3 linked regions of the Nothobranchius furzeri genome follow. The protein of the gene in region 1 interacts with the protein of each later gene in a pairwise test. Links are inferred from orthologs where the notes say so. Each region holds a gene or a part of one and is shown in the gene's direction. Other genes may lie near its edges.

Evidence for each region.
Region 2: the proteins of trim55b (region 1) and usp13 interact in a two-hybrid assay, tested with the Homo sapiens proteins (2 studies listed by BioGRID and IntAct). The link is inferred for Nothobranchius furzeri from reciprocal best matches to the Homo sapiens genes TRIM55 and USP13.
Region 3: the proteins of trim55b (region 1) and tcap interact in a two-hybrid assay, tested with the Homo sapiens proteins (2 studies listed by BioGRID and IntAct). The link is inferred for Nothobranchius furzeri from reciprocal best matches to the Homo sapiens genes TRIM55 and TCAP.

Annotation. Positions count from the first base shown.
Region 1 is NC_091747.1:51,573,748-51,578,991, forward strand, and holds the start of trim55b (tripartite motif-containing protein 55), read left to right. Parts: upstream 1-2,029; 5' UTR 2,030-2,248; coding exon 2,249-2,324; intron 2,325-3,377; coding exon 3,378-3,505; intron 3,506-3,964; coding exon 3,965-4,134; intron 4,135-5,244. UniProt on the Homo sapiens protein: E3 ubiquitin ligase that plays an important role in regulating cardiac development and contractility, muscle growth, metabolism, and fiber-type differentiation.
Region 2 is NC_091748.1:59,206,869-59,210,569, reverse strand, and holds the end of usp13 (ubiquitin carboxyl-terminal hydrolase 13), read left to right. Parts: intron 1-1,888; coding exon 1,889-1,973; intron 1,974-2,190; coding exon 2,191-2,287; 3' UTR 2,288-2,560; downstream 2,561-3,701. UniProt on the Homo sapiens protein: Deubiquitinase that mediates deubiquitination of target proteins such as BECN1, MITF, SKP2 and USP10 and is involved in various processes such as autophagy, endoplasmic reticulum-associated degradation (ERAD), cell cycle progression or DNA damage response.
Region 3 is NC_091745.1:14,198,058-14,202,114, reverse strand, and holds tcap (telethonin), read left to right. Parts: upstream 1-1,418; 5' UTR 1,419-1,641; coding exon 1,642-1,790; intron 1,791-1,900; coding exon 1,901-2,291; 3' UTR 2,292-2,792; downstream 2,793-4,057. UniProt on the Homo sapiens protein: Muscle assembly regulating factor. Mediates the antiparallel assembly of titin (TTN) molecules at the sarcomeric Z-disk.

The DNA of each region.
Region 1 (5,244 bases):
ACATTTATTTTTACATTTATATTTCACATCAATAAAACTCACAGAATGAATGATCCTCTCTCTTACAGACTTTTTAAATCACAGGCACTGATTGCTTTCCATCTGACTTCCACCCCATCTAAAATATTCATACAAGCGAACAGATGGCACCCTTTGCTCTGCTTCCTGTATATGTTGTTAGTGCGCTTGTAGAGTTGTTTGAGTGTTACGTGTGTATCTTGAGTATCTTTGGAAGTGCCTGCAGACCCTTTTTACTATACGTACTGAAATTACAGCTGAGCAAGAAGTTTCACACTGCGCTCTTTAAACTGGCATCTTCTTTTTGCTCCAAAGGCAGCACTGTCTGGCATTCACGTTGGCCTTTCATCTTTTAAAAAGTCTCCCACACCGCTCTTAATTTGTCAATTTTTATGAGATTTCTGCCAACAGGCTCTGCCATATTATGAGTCAGACGGTTAATGGCTGCAAAATTATGAATTCACTTTAGTGACAAAAACACAACTCGGAACATCTCCCTAATTGATCTCATCTGAATTCACTTTTAGGCGTCAGCTAAATGGTGGGGATCGGCGCGGTCCTCGCTCATTAATGAATGTTTATCACACTAGCCTTTTAAAGATTAATGGTTAAAACTGAATAAAGTGGCGTTCCCAAATGAAATCACAGGAAAAAATATTCATAGAAGAAGCACTTGAACAAAAGAGAGGATCTGGGTGAAACACACAAGCTTATCTTTAATAACAAATATTAATGTGCTCTTTAACATTCTCATATGAGGCAGCAGCTAGATACAGAAGTGGCTGATTTTTATTTTCCTCTCACCTTAAAGGCATTAACATTTTGCTGGAAGCCGTGGTTCCACACCTGCTTTGCTGGTGTCCAACAGATGAATGAAAACAAAGGCACACAAAAATAGAGCGATCGAGAGAGACATTCATTATTTTCAGAAACAACATCTGCCTAAAATGTTTAAACATGACTCACTGACTCTGATGTGCCTGTGCGAAACGCGCTGCATGCATTTCCATGTGGCCTCACTATAAAAGGAACAGAGGTGCAAGATGCAGATGTCATGTTGTATTAGTCAGAGGAAAACGACAAATTAGGTATAAAGTACTTTCAAAAGGTATTTATACAACATTTTACCACAGCGGTAACCACTGACTCAATCTGTAAGGTAAACCTGTCCTAAATGATCAAATTTATTCCACTAATTACATTTAGAAAAATATCTGCATGATGGAAATCAAACATACATGCTTCTAATTAAATTCAAGTGTAAAGGCATGAACTTAAGACCCTTGTTGAAAGGGTAAAAACTAATGTTTTCTGAACAAGTGTCAGAATATAAAATATGAAGCATAAAACACAAAATACTTAATAAATGCATGATGCTTGCCATAATCCATCACACAAGTGCTAATTATCTTCAGTGAGTCATCCATCAGTATGCATCTGCAGTACTGTTTCTGCCGCTTCAATCTAGAGTAAATTATGTTTTATCACAAATATAGAGCAAATGAGAGACATATCAGTAAAAAATTAAAATGAAATTTTTTTGGAGTGTTTGCAAGTATAGGACAATTAGTCGTTTAACTATGTGCAAACATTAAGGCCTTGAATTGAAAAGTTATTAATGTAAAGATTATTGTTTGAGATCAAAAATCTTCACCTAACTGTAATGTGACAAGATAAAGGATTGTGTCTCACCAATAATTTTTATTTTACTTAAACATTTTATTTAAGAGAAGCATATTTTGTCAACATTGTTACCACAGAAAATATGATTATAAATGTAAGAATTTTAACCCGTTTCATGAAATTAACAAATCAAATGTTCAAGGATAGTTTTAAGGATTGTTTTTTTAAAAACTCAAAAGTAACCCTCTCCTTCGAGCCGGATTCGAACCAGCGACCTAAGGATTTCAGCGCATACCCACTACAGTCCTCCGCTCTACCAACTGAGCTATCGAAGGGAGACGTTCACTCCAGCCAGATCTACTGGTTTTAAGGGTGTACAGTCACGTGTTTTTATTTTTAGTGTGTTATTCTATAACAATTTCGACTGCAAGTATTAAATACTTCGCTAGTTATGATGGATTTTCACACCATTTAATGCATAGATTTAGGTCCACAGACATATACGTATTCACGTCTATGCTTGTGCTGCTAACGAGGCTATAGCTTCTCAGCTAAGCTAACTTAGCTTAGCTAAGTAACATTACCTAAAGTAAACCGGTGTCGGTAAATGGTATCCTATAACTGTATAATGACTTCTGTATTATCAAGTTTGTGTGGCACCAGACAGCGATTCGGCTCCACAGGTATGTTACGAAACTCAACATAATATGTTGCCGGAAGTTGTGTTGTTACGAGAAGATAGAGCGCTTACATTAAAGCGTTGGGTCGATACCGGCGTCACTTAAATTATCTTTTGATTGTTGACTGGTTAATTTTCTGACTTAATTACTTCTAATGAACTTTTTTAAAATATGCACTACTTCTATAGAGCTGCAACTCCATTAATACATTCTAAAAGACGGACTTTTAATCAAGTTACTGCGATTTTTTCAATTCAGCGAGTAATTCAAGATAAATAAAATAAGAATCGAATAGAAAAATAATTTAATGTCCCTTAGAAGATATTGTTTTTGCTCAAATAGTAATATCCAACGTAGCTACGAAATTAACACTAATAACAATAATAATTCCCTTAAAATATTTTCTGTGTTTTTTAACAAGTTTTATTTAACCAATGAAGCTTACAGGCTTACATAAGAATCAACATTTACAGTTGAATTCTGAGCATGACAAAAAAAAAAAATATGTTTCTGCGGTAGCAAACCTTTTTGTATTCAGGCGGGGTCCTCCTTCATCTGGTGTTGCTTAGAAATGTAGGCAGTTTTTAGGATTTTTTGCTAATCAAATATTATTGAAATGTTAGCATTAGGGGACATAGGTCTTTCAGTTTAGCATTTTTTACATTTTGACTTTCACGTCATCAACATATATTATAAATTAATTAACCAATATATAAATACACATAAAACATCAGCATACTGGACAAAATTGAAAGTTACCTCATATAATTTCACTGATTTTTCCTGCTTTTTGTCCCCCCCTATAGGACGCAGATGGTAGTTTAGAGAGAGATAAGCAGCTGTTCAGTACTGACTAGTTCAGTTTCAAATATGGGCAGGGTATAAATGGCAACATTTGACGTGACAGCAGTAGCTGCTGCTAAAATAAAGCACTGACACCAACTGGGTACTCCCACTTATCCTATTCAGCACCCTCGTGACTGAATCTGCCGTGGATTACTAGCTTTTGATAAACTTTCGCAAATTTAAGTTTTGTATGACTTTGTTTGTCCTAAGCTGGCACCATGGAGAACCTGGAGAAGCAGCTGACTTGTCCCATATGCCTGGAAATGTTTACAAAGCCTGTTGTCATTTTACCTTGCCAGCACAACCTCTGTAGGAAATGTGCCAATGATGTTTTTCAGGTAAGCCAATTTAATGAATCCCCTCAGTTTTTTCTGTAACAACAGAATTTAGGAGTTTAAGAAAAATGTTGATTTATAAGCATCTTATGCATACAAATGCGCTGCCTGGCTCACATTTTAATATCTTCACAGCCACAATAATCACGGTTTGTGCTTTAGTGAGAAAATTAACACTTTGTGTCACAACCAATGATGAGCCAAATATGTATAGGCTTTGTTGAAATATTATTGATGTAATAAGTCACAAGTAAAAACACAATTATTTCATAAATTATTTAAATCTGGCTGTTGGTAAGCTTTTTGATTTACACACTCATTTATGCAAACTTGTTTTGTCTGTACTTCCTCTATGCACATTGCATAACGGCTGAGTGAAACCATTTCATTAACTTGCGCAACAGAGATGTGTTTGACCAGCATCAACACTCCAGAATTAGAGTGTGAATTATTGCTTTGCAGGCTTCAAACCCGTACTTTCCAACCAGAAGTAGCTCGTTGACGTCTGGTGGCCGTTTCCGATGCCCATCCTGCAGGCATGAGGTGGTCCTGGACCGACACGGTGTCTACGGCCTGCAGAGGAACCTGCTGGTTGAGAATATCATTGATATGTTTAAACAGGGATCCAGCAGGTGAGACAGATCAGGCGTAAAGTACACCTAACACTTCCAATATCCAGCAAGAGGGCTTGGTACGTGAGTCAAAGACATCCCTGAGGGCAATAAGCAGGGATAGTAAATGTGAGAGGAGGGAGAGCAGCGTGATGCAGAAGGTGCATCAGTTACTGTTGAGGCTTCTGAGTCATTCTGCTGGTGTAGGTTTGGTCGTTTCTAGTAGCATCATGTGCACGGATGACTTCTCCAGTGGCTGACTGGATAGCCGAAAGGCTAATCTGACATAAAATCCACAGAACTGAAACTTCCCATGTCGTCATAGAGTTTCATTTAATTTAGAACATCAAATAGATTATTTTGAAAACTAATTTCTGCAGATGAATGGTACATAGCAGGTTATGTTTTTGTCTGAGTGCATTGGTTCATTTGCAAAATATCTCATGAGGATGAATTTTGAGATCTATCATTAGATGTAGAGATCAACCGATATGGGTTTTTCTGATGCAGATATCTACAAGCTATGGCCCGCCAAATTTCACAGTCAATATCTTGTAATTTTCCACCTTATCTGCATGCTAAAATGTCACTAATGACAAAATAACGACCATTCATGCACAACATCTCTGAATCGAATCAGTTTTTGAATACTGATTTTAACCGACGTCTGAATCTTGATTTTGTGCAAGATCAAACAATCAACGAGAGTTGCTCAAACAAATCAATTAACTAATTCCATTGTTGGTTCCTTTTTAAAACACAGAAAAGGTTTCTTTTTACCTTGCTGACAGTTTCGTTGGTGGCTGCAAACTTCCTCAGAGCTGATGCTGATGGTGGCATCACTTCCTACTCCATTTATCCGCGGGCAGCAGAGGATGTTGTCATCCTCTGCTGCCCGCTCTCCCCTCACCGATGATGCAGCCCCATGCACGATCCAATGTGTAAACTCCATCATCTCTGGCCGCGAATAAACGGAGTAGGAAGTGACGCCACCATCAGCTGAGGAAGTTTGCAGCCACAAACTAAACTGTCAGCAAGGTAAAAAGAAACCTTTTCTGTGTTTTAAAAAAGAACCAACAATGGTATTAGAAATCAGACACAGCAAGAACGTACCAAAGAAATCAATAAACT
Region 2 (3,701 bases), on another chromosome or scaffold:
AAAAACAGTCTAATGTCTCATGTTGAATTTCCTTCTCAGCTGGCCTAAGGGCAGTCAGTCTTTGTTTACAATCAGAATCAGATCAGAATCAGATCTACAAGCCTGTGGGTTTACAGAGCCTGCACCAGCCAATGCCTGATTTATGTTTCTCTGTCATCTCCACAAGGGAGAGACAAGTACGCATTTACAGAGACGTTTTCTTCTCTGACTTCTCCGGCACCTGGGGAGTGTTACAAAGCAATTCCCCACCAGGACCACAGAGGGCATAACACTTTTCTGTGGTATCACGCCACCATTACACTCCTGTATCCGGTCCATGATAGTGTATTTACTAATGTGTTTATATATTTCAGACATAACACGGATGAATTTGTCCTTCATCCTCCACCTCTCATGTGGCTGCCATCGCTAACCCATGCTCTAAACCCATGTTTCCTGTCAGTTCCGTCCACGAACAAAATGCTTGCACCATATCTTTGTACTCCTTCCATCACTGGTGAATAAACGTTCCTATTTTTGGACTTTTTCTGCGATGCGTTCTTCAATCTGTTCAGAGTCTGCCGTTAAATATCTTTTTACTTTTTAAGGGGGCAATGGTGGTGCTGTTAACAAATTTACAGGAAGTGGCGTCCTGGCCAATCACAAGCTTGCGGTCTCCGTCACTTTTGATGGATATGTAAAAATTTGGGCATGTCTCTGTCACCCTCTGCGAGCCTGTTGGAGAGCCCTTGCACTGATGCATAATAACGTTGCGTATCTCTGCGCCGCGCAAACTGAGAAGTATAAATTAGGCTTAATGCTCCAGTCGTGGCATTTGGAATTTGACACCACCCCATAAGTGTTATGCAAAGATCCTAAGCCAGTAACGGAAGTGACACATAAGTTATTTCTTGTACTCCTAAGAAGCCACAGCATCATTTTACTCTAATATCGGGTTAAGCAGACTAGAGGCTAATGTTGAGCTAACAATGCCAACGGCGAATTAGAAATTCCAAAGATATCTCGAGCAACTTTTTCAACTTTTAACATCTGAAAATTAAAGTGAATTGTATTTATCCACTGATCAATTTACTGTGTATGACTCTTCGCTCGTCATCTAGAATCTTCTGGTGTTGAGTCACAGCTGGCAACAGCCGTGAAACTCACAGAACTTCAGGCCAGGAGTTGAGCCTAATCATTTCCATCTACAAATATAACGCTGTCTGTGTATCTTTTTTCTCATCCAGTCACGGATGAAAAAAACATTCATATTTTTAGGTTTTTCGCGAGGTGTTCTTCAAGCTACTCTGTGTCTGCTGCTAGATATCTTCAGCTCTCTTTATGTTTTTGAGGGGGGAATAGTGGTGCTGTTGACGAAAAGCGGCGGCCTGACCAGTCACAAGCTTGCGTTCTGCGTCTCGTTTAGAAAAATGGGCTTGACTCCATTCATCCTTGTGAGCCTGCTGGAGAGCCCTCACATGGATGGATAACATTTCGTGTCTTCGTACTGACGCAGAAGCAGAAACTAGGCTTCACTCTTTTGCTTTGAAATAGACTGCAGTACCCAAATTTGACCACAAGATGTCATTCTCACTTCATTTATACATCATGCAACGTAAAAAAAAAATTAGTTTATAAATAAACTCATGAACTAGAAAAACCTTTGTGTTAGCTTTTTGAAAATAAATGTACGTCATCATTTTAATTAAAACTTTTATAAAAAATGTAGACTCAAACAATCATGTAAGTGAAAATAGATGAGTATATAATGAAAAGAACTTTAAGTAGATTTACTGTTTTGATTGTTTTTCCCATCATTCAGAATCTAATTCTGACAATTACCATCTGTCGATTTCAGATGTGTGACGGTGATCTGTTTATTCTGGTTTTGGTCTTCTTCCTGTTTTAGGATACGAACTGTTTGCCTTCATCAGCCACATGGGAGCCTCCACGATGTCCGGACATTATGTTTGTCACATCAAAAAGGAGGGAAGGTGAGCTGCAGCCCGCATCCTTAAATAACATCTCTTCTGGTTTTACTTGTAGAATAAAGTTGACAACACTCATTATTCCTTACGAAACATGCATGTTAATGATCGTGTTTCTTTTCTGCCAATCTTTTCCTGAAATTGTTATTATTTTATTTTGAAAGTATCTAGACTCTGTAAGGTCAAGAGACAACAAAACTCTTAAATGCTCATCTCTGTGCAGGTGGGTGATCTATAATGACCACAAAGTCTGTTTGTCAGAAAGGCCTCCAAAGGATTTGGGCTACATCTACTTTTACCGTCGACTTTCAAGCAGTTAAAGTCACCACCAGCTTTTAAACCACCCTCCAGTCTTTGACCCTTAAGACTGACTGACAACTTTCCCAACAGTGGGAATGATGGAAGAAACCTCACAGACCAGCTGCTTGCCTTATCCAGATCGCCAACAGGAGCAACCAGGAGCTTTGGCCAGAAAGGGAAAGCAATGTACTTTTTTGTGCATTAGTTTGTGTCGTTATGCTTTAAATGTATATTTCAGTGTTTATTTATGGAAAAGAAAAAATACGCTGATGTTGGTAAAGAGGGATGTGTGCAATCTCCACTTCTAGAATGCTCTCTAAAAAAATGACATATCACATCCGGACGTTCCTCCTCTCCGCCTTCAGCTGCTGTGCCGTACTTTCAAAGTGTTACATTTATAGTGAGACAGCAGTGCATCACTGCCAGCCCAAAATACCCAAGAAACTGCAACAACAGACCAGGAATTCAGTCTGATGCCAGTGGTTTTACACTTTACTTTGAATTATGGTGAAAGTTTTTCATCGTGAAGAGATATTTAGTGCTTAGAAAAATCACCAACACATTGTGTCAGAATGTAGCAAAACCGACGGATTGTTCCAAAAAATTCAACTGTAAATACACAGTATTTTGGCTCAGAACTGCCCCAGTTTTACAATTATAAATAATGTGTGTTTGTCACTTTCATCTATGCATAGGCTTAGTTACCGAGGTAGAGCTATTATTTTTTTCCCCAAAGCACTTTTTGGATATACGTTAACTCGGCTGCACCTGCTGCGGTTTGGTTCCTTTTATCACTTTGACAGATTCAGACTGACCCCGAAAAGGTGAGATAAATGTTTCCCTTGACTTGTTGCCATTTGTCAGGACAGCTGGTTTATTTATTCACTTATTCACGGTTTCCACATCTGGAGCAATATGCTCTACAACCAGATCCGTCCAATGAAAGCTGCACAGCCACCGCCGCCTCTACAGCTGAATGTAAAACTTGGTGCTCGCTGCAAACCGAACCTCCTCTGCAGCTTTAGCCTGTGTCCTCCACAGCTCAAAGTGGGGTTCAGATCATTTTATTAACCCCCCCACCACATGGTTTTAGACTGCTTTTATTTGTTGCATCTCAACTACAGCAGTGCAATAATACAAAGTGCAGAAAACGATTATTTTAGTGGATTTCTGCTGAAGAATGGACTTGGTGTTGTTCTGCTGAAGCTGAGTCCTGCTCAACATGTCTGTCTAGAGCTGGATCAAGCAGAAACCAGCTTGCACAGAATAAATATGCATTTCACAAGAGTTGAATGAAGAAACCAGATGGAATTTGAAGGAACATCTCAATCAAAATGACAATTATGAGTTTCTTTTCTCTCAGACAGAATTCAGAAACATTTACAGAATGAATCTGTGTTCCTGCAACAACAACACCATGCCCGAGCAAATCTT
Region 3 (4,057 bases), on another chromosome or scaffold:
ACGTCATTATCTGTCCATCCTTACATCCATTTTCTGTACCTGCTTATCCACGCAGGGTTTCGGGGGGCTGGTGCCAGCAGTCTCCAGGCAAACGGGTGGGGTGCACCTTACAGGTTGCCAGTTCATCGAAGGGCCACACAGGGACACACAGGACAAACAACCATACACACACACACACTCACACCTAAGGAAATTTTGGAGAAACCAATCAACTTGACATTCATGCTTTTGGACTGTGGGAGGAAGTCGGAGAACCTGGAGAGAACCCACGGGGAGAACATGCAAACTCCATGCAGAAGGACCCCAGGCCAGGGGTCCTTCTGCATGACCTTCTTGCTGCTAGGCAACAGTGCCAACCACTGCGCCACTGCAGCCGTTTATTTAATATTTTATTTTATCAAAACATGTTAAATGATTTATAAGATATTTAGCTAAAAACGCACAAGCAAAAACATCATTATCCGCGTTCCTCCTTTTGACAGTGAGCAGGACGTAAACAGGAAGTCTCTTTAAATGACAAAAACATGTCACGCTGATTTTCTGACCTAAACAGATGACCTTTGGGATGCCAGCGGCTGCTTTACACCTTTTTTCTCACCGTGGCAGCATTCCTGTCATGTTGTGTCAACTAGCTGATAAGTTGCTAAGAAACAGGTGAAAACGTTTTTGCACTTGGCACGAAAATAACACTAAACCGCCATCTCGAATGGTAAAGACATGGAAAGATGATAAAAAGAGATGAGAATAAGTCCCACAATGAGAGGAAAGAAAGCGTGAGGTTTGTAAGAAGTCTAGATGATTGGTGTTCCTGCCTAACTGGTCGTTTAGATGCCTTATTATTATGCTGTGTGTGTGATAAGTGATATCTGTGTTGTGATGATGATTTCAGTGCCCCATGTGGGTGAATGAGTCAGAGACAGGGACTGGTAGTAACATAACACCAACACATAACTGGCAGAGGTGAGTGTGTCTGTGTGTGTGTGTGTGTGTGTGTGTGTGTGTGTGTGTGTGTGTGTGTGTGTGTGTGTGTGTGTGTGTGTGTGTGTGTGTGTGTGTGTGTGTGTGTGTGTGTGTGTGTGTGTGTTTCGGTCAGTAACCCAAGTTGCTAACAGCTTGAGTGGTGCTCTGTCACTGAGGTAATGAATCACACGCTTTGGAGCTTTGAAAGACGTCCAGCGGAGGGGCTGGTGTTGTCATGAGGCCCGGTTGTTTTTTAACGATAAAAAATGATGATTATATCATCTGAAATGTCCTTATAAAGCGGCTGCTGTCCCGTTTCACAGCTGAACATACAAGTTTATCATACCTCTATTCATAGCGCCGATTGTTCTGTCCCCTCTGCGACCGCCGCTGAAGTGGGCTGAGTGCTTTCAGAAGCCAGGGGGATTTTCTGGCCAACCACCCTTCAACTCATCCTCAGTTTGGATTCCAGCTGTCCGGGAATGAACCGCGGAGTAGTCGGTGTCAGATGTCAGTACACACTGGAAGCAGAATGACAACGTGAATCAGAAATAGTCACGGGGCGTCTATAAAAGCTGTGGACAGATCGCTGTGCCACTCAAACACTCTGAAGAGAGAGTCTAGACGTCTCAGAGAGAGAACCAGCTTTCAGGAACCCAAGATCCCCAGACAGTAGAAAACATGCCATTCTGCAGCATACTGGAGAAGAGTAACGGCATGGTGGTGGGAGCAGAGCTGGCCTGCAGCATCCGGGAGGAAAACACGGCTAAGAGGGAGAGCTACAGTGCTGACTGGCACAGCGTTGATCTGAAAACTCAACCTCAGGACAGGTGAGACACCACATGCTCCATCTACTCAGTGGTTTGTACTGAGATTCCTCTTGTTTTAACCTTGGAGTGTTATTAAGTCTCTAAGTTGAACTGTCGTCTGATGCCCACAGACAAACCATGAGCATGAAGGACGACTCCCGTAGAGAGACCCTCTCCCGGCAGTGGCAGTACCGCTCTCTGATCCAGACCTGCCCCTCTGGTGTCTTCAGGGTGGGCACTGTGGAAAGAGGGATGAAGGAGCACCAGTTGCTGCCAAAGAGACACACCCTCCCCCTGCCCATCTTTACCCCAACAGAGCTGGGTGTCAGGCTGGGACGTGGTGCCCCGCACACAGAGCACGACCTGCAGCCCTTCCCCACACGAGATGGGGTCTGCCCCAGCAAGAGGAGTGTGGACGAGATCACCAGAGACCTCCCCCCCATCAAACCGGTCCTCATGGAGTTCACTAAAGCCCCCAGAGCTCTGGGTCGCTCCATGTCACAGGAAGCCCAAAGAGGCTGAACGGAAAAGATAGAGGCGGAAAAAGAAGAGAATATGTTAGCTTGTTTGATCCACTTGTGAATGTGATGCTAGCACTAGTGCACTTTTATTGTGAAAAGTGCAAGTTTAACAGAACGATGGCGATGCAAGTTATCAGAAAGAAGGTTGAAAGTGTTTGAAGGGCAAGAAGGGATGGATGGAGTGGTATGGTGATGAAACGTGATGTTTGGGTTGGTCACCTCCCAGGAGCTTCTGCCAGTTCTGTATGGAGAGAACAGAATGCACTGGCACCATCACACACTGCTGCTGTTCCTGAGTGAGTGTGTGTGTGTAGACTGGTACCTGTTTTCGTCTCGCTTCATTAACTCATTCTTCCTGTTAGCTGAGTGGCAGCTGCTGTCTGATCCTGACAGCAGACACAAGTTTGGCTGAGATCATGAACAACTTTTTAATGTGTGAAATGATGATATTTGTTTATTGGAAATGAAATATTTTTGCTAATAAAACTTTAAGTACTCATAATTTCCTTGTCTTCAGACTTGTTTCTGTGATATTCTTGAAAAACCCTAAATTAGGTTTTACGTAGAGAAAAACAAAATGACTACAACGAAGATGAATGAATCACCCATCTTAAAGTATCTGAGCAGCTCCCTGTTAAGTCCCACTTTAGTCTGATGTGGAGCTGACGTGCTGGCGCTGCAGTCCGCTTCCAGCATGTCTTCTGCATGGTTTAGATCATGAACACAGCTGATTTGTTTAATTCAGTGATGAATCCCTCCTGATGAAGGCTGGGGAGACAATTAGCAGTTAGATTAAGGTGTTAAAAAGACGAACGTACAGCAAGAAGAGGAGATTCACTTTTGCTTTCACTAACAGACACTAGGGGGCGATAAAGGCAAGCCAAAACTGCCTACTATCCCTTTAAAAGATCAATTTCTGGTATTTTTTCAATAATGTCTAAAGCATCAAAAGTAATTGAGTGAAGTGACAACAAACAAAAACAAACTTTATTCTAAACTCCTTTGTACGTTCAATCTGTCTTTTTTAACACAGTTTATTAAAAGTAACAAAGTAATGAAAAACAACTTTGTGAGAGAACAGTTTACACAGGAAAAACATTATATTTTTAACTAATACTAATAACTATAATAATTTTTATTAATTATTTCCTTAAATTTAGTCGTTTTCACTAAATAAAAATGCAAAAAAGAAACATTTTCACAGTATATTTCATTATGTGGATATTTAAGAGTCCCTCAAATAAAATTAGCATATGCAGTTCTGATGCATGAATATGTACATTTTTAAGATCTAATCTATCTTTGTATTTGATTTTACTTTTCACAACACATAAATGGTGTGAGCATAACCATCTTCGCTTGAACACCAGGAAGACAAAGGAAATGATTGACTTCCAGCGAACCACTCCTCCTCACTCACCAGTAAACATCCAGGGAGCAGACATTGAGGCAGTGGATACTGTAGCATCATGAATGTCCTGTTTTTGACCTAAAGGTCATGATCTGCTGCGTCTGCTCGAGCAGAGGCATAAAGTCTCTGACAGCCTAATCTACATGAGATAGTGGCCAAGGTCTTTCATCTACTCTGCTCATCTGAACTGCTTCACCTCTGTTACAACGAAGACAAGAACTATTTTGGTAAATACATAATCAACAACTTTGTTTATTACCGATAATAATGTGAGCCCAATGTTCAATCAATCTGTGAAATGACAATGTTATTACTTGATGTTATAATCCTGTGATCAGTAGTATTTTACAAGTTAT